2 linked regions of the Caenorhabditis elegans genome follow. The protein of the gene in region 1 purifies or fractionates together with the protein of each later gene. This does not show direct contact. Each region holds a gene or a part of one and is shown in the gene's direction. Other genes may lie near its edges.

What was found. Proteins that work in one complex are often made in the same cells at the same time.
Region 2: the proteins of mau-8 (region 1) and par-5 purify together in Caenorhabditis elegans (affinity purification with western blotting, with the first as the bait; one study listed by BioGRID). This does not show direct contact.

Annotation. Positions count from the first base shown.
Region 1 is NC_003282.8:13,375,939-13,379,692, forward strand, and holds the start of mau-8 (Phosducin domain-containing protein), read left to right. Parts: upstream 1-2,077; 5' UTR 2,078-2,086; coding exon 2,087-2,286; intron 2,287-2,342; coding exon 2,343-2,544; intron 2,545-3,396; coding exon 3,397-3,576; intron 3,577-3,754. Other genes in the region: Y62E10A.6 (NADPH:adrenodoxin oxidoreductase, mitochondrial), read left to right, coding at 980-1,330.
Region 2 is NC_003282.8:11,819,892-11,823,585, reverse strand, and holds par-5 (14-3-3-like protein 1), read left to right. Parts: upstream 1-1,668; 5' UTR 1,669-1,688; coding exon 1,689-1,778; intron 1,779-1,826; coding exon 1,827-1,997; intron 1,998-2,062; coding exon 2,063-2,254; intron 2,255-2,301; coding exon 2,302-2,595; intron 2,596-2,697; 3' UTR 2,698-2,761; intron 2,762-2,805; 3' UTR 2,806-3,080; downstream 3,081-3,694. Other genes in the region: M117.3 (14-3-3 domain-containing protein), read right to left, coding at 1-70. UniProt on the Caenorhabditis elegans protein: Required to modulate lifespan, in concert with hcf-1, acting redundantly with 14-3-3-like protein ftt-2.

The DNA of each region.
Region 1 (3,754 bases):
AAAAATCAAGAAGAGAGCAAAAATGTCGAAAAAAGTTCATTTACCATTTGAATTTTTAGAAAATTGAAGAAAAATCGTTCAATCAGTAAAAAACTACATTTTTTAAGAAAAAAAAATTCAAAAACCTCACGGCAATTTGCCGATTTGCCGGAAATTTTCAATTCCGGCAATTTGACGATTTGCCGATTTTTCAATTTGCCAGAAATATTAATCTTCGGCAAATTGCCGATTTGCCGGAAATTTTCAATTTCGTCAAATTACCTTTTGCCGATTTGCCGGAAATTTTTAATTCCGGCAGATTACTGATTTGCTGGAAATTTTCAATTCCTGCTATTTGCCGGTTTGCCGATTTGCCGAAAATTTGCAATTTGCCGGTTTGCCGGAATTTGACAATTCCGGCAATGTTCCGATTTGCCGGAATTGTTAATTTTCTCTAATTCGCCGGTTTGTCAGAATTTTCCAATTCCGGCAATTCGCCGGTTTGCCGGAATCGGTCATTTTCGCTAATTTGCCGATTTGCCCGAATTTTCCGATTCCGGCAATTCACCGATTTGCCGGAAATTTTCATTTTCGGCATATTTCCGATTTGCCGGAACTGTTCAATTAAGACCGTTTGCCGGTTTTCCGATTTGCCGGAAATTTTTATTTTCGGCAAATTGCCACTTTGCCGGAAATTTTCATTTTCGGCGATTTGTCGAAAATAAAAATTTCCGGCAATTTGCCGGTTTGCCGATTTCCGAAAATTTTAAATTCCGGAGATTTGCTGATTTGCCAGAAAATTTTTGGCAAATTGCCGGTTTCCTGGAATTTTTCAATTCCGGCAATGTGCCGATTTGCCGGAATTGTTAATCTTCGTCGATTTGCCGGTTTGTCGGAAATTTAAATTGGTTTAAATTATCTGGAAAACTATTATGACCCATAATTCCCGGATTCAAAAAAAAATCATAAAATCTCTGCAAATATATTTTTTTTATTTCAGAAAATGATAGACATGAAAGATCATTGCCGTGTAAATATGGTTGCTGCGTGTTCATCACAAGTGTATGCAACTGGATGGTGTGCTCATGGACCACATGGAATAATTGTAGACACTCAACAACAATCAATTTTTGTTGCCGATCAAATTGCCGCAGACTTTGCACAATTTAAAGATAGCACATCTAATGGAGTTGAAGAATTACTTGAAGATCGAAAAGTTCCATTTATATCATGGGATGAATGGAAACAAATTGATAGACAAGAACAAGACACTGGAAAGCTATCTGGAAAGATTCGAGAAAAGTTCACAACTTTTGAGAAATTTCTCACGAAATTGAAGAAATGCAATTAGAAAATGCCATAAATTATCGAGTTTTCTTTCACCCTTTTTTCCGGGTTTTACTGGAATTTCAGTACATTTTCTGTATTTAACTAGACACTTCTAGATAGAATAAATCTTTTTTTTTATTTTTTTATTGGATTTTTTTCCAGATTTTGGTCATTTTGCCAAATTTATTACCTTATTTGAATTATTTGATATTCTGATCCAAAAACAAATTGCATTTTAATGAGAAATTGGAAAATTCCCAGTAATTTTTGAATTTTTTTGATAAATATTTTAAAAATTTGCAAAAATATTTGAAAAAAGTATCAAATTTCTCATATATTTTCCAAAGAAAAAACAATTAATTTATAGAAAAGTCTGAAAAACGTTGAAAAAGGTAAAAATAGGAATTTAAAAATTATATAAAACGACCGATTTTTAATTGTTTTTTAAATTTTGATTAATTTGAAAAATTTAAAAAAAAACTTTTTTTTGGTATATATTTTTTTCAGATTTTGGCAATTCTGCCAAATTTATTACCTTTAATTTGTGTGATATTTCTCTAATTTTAAAAAAAGTTCCTTACGAAACTATCAGGAAATTTTACAAAAAATTTTAATTAATAAAATGCTTGAGAAGAAACTTTTTTAAAGAAATTTTCTCACCAGTAGTTTCAAATTTCTCATGATTTTTCTGAAGAAAAATTAAATCAAAATTTCTTTTTTTTTTTTCGAAAAAGATCAGAAATATAAATTTAAAAAAATATTTTTTCAGAAAACTCTAATGAATTTGGAATCACGAATTCTGGACGGAAAGCCTGCGGGTTACTGTAGCAGCTCAGAAGGTGAAGAGGACGATTTCAAAGTTGTAAACGATGAGGATGAGCATCAGGCGAATGTAATGAAGAGAATGGGACCATCTTCGAATACTGGAGCAAAAGGAGTGCTCAATGAGTTCAAAGCGTTCAGAGAACAGACTAGATTGTGAGACTATTTAAAAAATTCTTAAAAATTAAAAAAAAAATTTTGTAAATTTTCAGAGCTGTCGAATCAAAAAATCAGAAATTAATTGAGCAAGCGAAGAAAGGAATGATGATTGGATCGAAAGAAGAACGAGAAAAAGCACAACGAGAAGATGATGAAGATGAGGATTTTGAGATGACTTTGGAGGGATTAAAAGCGAAGAGACTTAGAGAAATGAGAAAAATTGCAGCAAATCGGGTTATTGAAATGACTGATAAGGTATAGGAACAATCAAAAAATACTTTTTTTTTTTTATTGTGAAAACTTTTGAAAACTTTTTAGAAAATATGGGAAAAAAAGAAAATTTCTCCAAAATGAATAAGAAAAATTGGCAAAAATTACCAGAAAACTGGAAAAAAAATTTTTTTTTCACTTTCCGAGTAAAAAATTAATTTCGAAAAAAAAAATACCAAAGATTTTCGATTTTTTTTCTAGAAAATTCAAAAGTCTCTCAATCTTTTTCTAGAAACATTTAAAAACTTGTCGAAATTTCAAAAAATCAAAATTTCTAAAAGTTTCGATATTTCCTTTTTTGATTTTTTAGAAAAAAACTTTTAAAATTATTTTTACAATTTTTAGTCGGAAATTTATTTTTTTTTAATTCGAAAAATTTCGTTATTTTTCAATTTTTTTCCACAATGACGTCGAGAAATTAATATTTTGATTTTATTTTTAAAAAATCAATTTTATTTTTAATAAAATAATAATTTTTTCTAATTTCTCGACATCGCCCCGTTGTCGTTAAAAATTCAAATATCGGCATTTTTCGAATTAAAAAAGTTGCTTTCTTTTCTTAAAAAAATCAAAAAAGGATATATCGAAACTTTTTCGATTTTTTCTCGAAAATTTAAAAAAAATCAGGTTTCCGTTTTTCGAGAAAAAAAAATTGCAAAATAATAGAAATTTTGATTTTTTTTTAAATTTCGACTAAAAATAAATAAAAAACGATTTTTTAACGGAAAATGATAAATAATGAAAACTAAAATTATTCAATTTTCCAAAAAAAATTAGCTTTTCTTCTTCATTTTATCGATTTCAAACATCCTTCAAAAATGCTCCAAGAAATTTCAGAAACAATATTCGGATGCCGTTGATGGAAGTTCATCATATCTTCTCTGTGTTCTAATATATGAGCCTGAATCCGATGAATGTGAATATTTGACACGAATCGTTAAGATTCTCGCCGCCGATTGTCCGAAAACCAAATTCGTTCGAGCGACAAGCACTCTTCTTGAAATGAGCAGAGCATTTGTATGTAATACGTTTCAGGGTCCCGACACGACAAATTTTTAGTTAAATGCGAAAAGGTCTTGCGCCTTTGAAGAGTACTGTAGTTTCAAACTTCCGAATTTTCAAAAGTTTTAAATTTTTTTTCGAAAGCACTATACACGTGATGTGAGAGTTTCTCATTTCGGCTTGATCTACGTAG
Region 2 (3,694 bases), 1.6 Mb from region 1:
ACTTGTGTGCATGCTCTTCTCTGTTGATATCGTCGTATTGGACCAGATACCTAAAATGGTCGGCGACCATGCCACCGAAGAGAGCCTTAGTTTCATCATTTAGCGCATAGTCTCAAGCCAAACAGGCGGGGCAGTTCAAAAATAGTTTGATATATAGTTTGATATAGTTTGATGAATAGTGGCGTGGAGTACGGTTTCGCGGCAATTCAAATACTACTATTCTTGAGACCAGACGAATCGGACGATTAACGGCGGCGAGGGATTCGGATCGGGGGAACCCAATCTGTGGGACGGGCCACGCCCACGATCAAATTTTGCAACCTCCGCACGGTTCTATGGGCGTGGCCAATCCCCCGATGTCAACAAATTTTAAAAAAAACCTTCCCCGATTTTATAAATATTTCAGCTTGAAATCGCGATGTTCATTTGCGAACTCGAGGCATTTTCGAAACGTTAAATGTTCCCGCGCAATAATGCTCCGCTGAACAGTGCACGCTTTTTGTGTAGATTCATTTAAATATTCATTTTCCGTCAGATTTCATGTAGAAACCCAAAGATTCGCTCATTTCGCTGCTCGATCTTTTCTTTTTCTTCATTCAACCGTATATTATATGCATTTTTCGTTTAAACGTTTTTCAAAAATTTTTAAAAATTGCTTACAATCTTCTTTGTAAAAAGAATATATTTTGCAACCAATTTTTTCGATTCTCCATGGAAAACTTATCAATTTAAACTGCATTCACTGTTACACTGATAATGCTTTGAACGACGGCGGTCGGAGAACTTCCAACCGATTACTGTTCTCCAATTTCATGTTTCTAGAAAAAAAGAAATTTCTGTCGTTTCATAACATGTTTTAACACGCAGAGCCTTTTTTTTTCGAATGAACCGCCATTTTCTTTAAAGGCGCAAGCTATTCCCTCTGCGCGATATTTCGCCGCGAAAAAAGAAGCCCCGCGAAAAAACGTATTCGAACCGCGGAATTTCCGCGAATTTGTTGCTGGTTTCTTCTAGAATTCAACGATTCAATGCTCATTTCATCACAATTTTTTTTTGTAAAATTATCCTTCTCGCTTTTATGCTCCTCTTGCCCTCAATTTTCTGTCTAAAAGCTATCATTTCCTCTGATTTCTTCCTCGATTTTCAAATGTTGGCCCAAAATAGTGATTTTTTCTTTAATTATATCCTAATCCCCACCAACACGATTTAGCAATTCTCGAAAATTATTTTTTTGCGTTGTTCAGGTAAAAGTCCTGACGAAACCTCCTGAGTTTTGTGTAACGTGCTCACCGAAAGATTAGTGTGCTTGCTGCGCCCGTTGTCACCACTGCCATTCATCCTTCTATTCCCGTGTTTTCTTATCAAATGCCCAAAAAATCTGAAATTTTTTGTGTAGACAATGCTATATATGAGGAGCGAATGTGTGCGCCAGAGAAAAAGACGGACAGACACAAATTGAGTGAGTGTGCGTTGCCCACTTTAGTTGTTGTCATGCGACGGCGGCGGCACGCGCTCTCTCATCGGCCGGCACTGCTGTCCATCGATTTTTCTTCTTTCAAACGTCGTGCGGGCTGTTTCGAATGTTCTAGGGCTCTCCGTTTCGATTATTACTCTCGCCTATGTTCTTCTCTTTTCGTTCTCAATATTTCATTATAAATTTTGTTTCAGAAGACTTGCTCACTGAAAAAATGTCCGATACCGTGGAAGAGCTCGTTCAACGCGCCAAGCTTGCCGAACAAGCCGAGCGATACGATGATATGGCTGCCGCCATGAAGAAAGTAAGATAAAACATCATTTACGGAGGTTTCAAATTTACTATTTTTCAGGTGACCGAGCAGGGACAGGAGCTTTCCAACGAAGAGCGTAACCTTCTCTCTGTTGCCTACAAAAACGTCGTCGGAGCTCGCCGTTCATCGTGGAGAGTTATCTCTTCCATTGAGCAAAAGACCGAGGGATCCGAGAAGAAGCAACAACTCGCCAAGGAATACCGCGTCAAGGTAACTACACCAAGCAAGATTTTATTAATTTCAAGAATTTTAGTAACTTATTTACATTATTTCAGGTTGAGCAAGAACTCAACGACATCTGCCAAGATGTGCTCAAGCTCCTCGACGAGTTCCTCATTGTCAAGGCTGGAGCTGCTGAGTCGAAGGTCTTCTATCTCAAGATGAAAGGAGATTACTACAGATACCTCGCCGAGGTCGCTTCAGAGGATCGCGCTGCCGTTGTTGAGAAGTCCCAGAAGGCTTACCAGGTATTTGAAAATAACTAAATTCTTGATGTAAATGGCATGACTTTCAGGAGGCTCTTGATATCGCTAAGGACAAGATGCAGCCAACCCACCCAATTCGCCTTGGACTTGCCCTCAACTTCTCTGTCTTCTACTACGAGATCTTGAACACTCCAGAGCACGCTTGCCAACTCGCGAAACAGGCTTTCGATGATGCTATTGCTGAGCTCGACACGTTGAACGAGGATTCGTACAAGGACTCGACCTTGATCATGCAACTTCTACGTGACAATCTCACTCTCTGGACATCTGACGTTGGAGCTGAAGATCAAGAGCAGGAGGGAAACCAGGAAGCTGGAAACTAAGTACGATTTCAAAATGTTTTATTGCCATTATATAAAGCTGACCTTTTTCCTCTTTTCCTTTCACATCAAATCTTGCTTCGAAAAAATAGTTTCGGTTTTCAGAGAGCTGAACTCCGTTCTCTTTCCTCGCATCTCTTCAACTTTCAGTTATCCTCCAACATTTCCGGTACGTTAGCCGAGAGAGTTGCCTAATCACCGTTTTTGTTTTAGACTTAACGTATTCACCAATACTCCATACAACACTGCGCAATAGCATCATGAAAGAAAATTCGGTCTTCAAGTGCTCTAGATCTCCAAGCCATAATTCTCTTCATGCTCTATTTCGCTGTAATTCACTCCGTCACTATTGTCATTCCTAAAATGGCGTATTGTTCTATGATTATTATGTGCTGTAAAGTATAATGAACCCCCATCTTCCATTTTTCTCTTATTATCCCCGATCTTTATTTTTAGATCTTTTTGAACATAAATGTTTGGTGAACTTTTCCGGTTGTCCGAATTTCATCACAACTTTCCAGGAGTTTTTCGAGTAATGGAATGGAATTTATTTTCAGATTTCGATGAAGGAGCATAAATAGGATAAAACATTTGCATTAACCTCTTAGAAGGTCTCAACACGAAAAATTAAATGAAATGTGAAAAAGTGTGCGCCTTTAAGCTGCCGAAAATTTTTTGATAGTTTCTTCCACGATTCGTTAAAAATTAAGTGTTTTATGGTAACATTTGAGTGTTCTTTTGAAAATAAATATATTCTTTGTCGAAAAACTATGAAACATCGATAAAAATTCCGCAGCAATAGAAGTTTAAAATTACAGTACTCTTTAAAGACTCACACCTTTTTGCGTTCAACAAATATTAGACGTGTCGAGACTAAGTACCGTACTTTTGGCGCAAAAAGCTCAAAATTTCGCTCCTGGGCAATATAATTTTCGGAAAAAAACTTAATTCTGGAGACTTCATGTGTTTTCACAGATCATGACGAGACCGATTGAGAAACATTTGGAAATACATTTTTCTTCAATATATCTTCAAAGTGGCCGATTGTATGTGATCATACGGAATAACGATGGATGTGTTTTGTGCTTTTCGGCAGATTTCG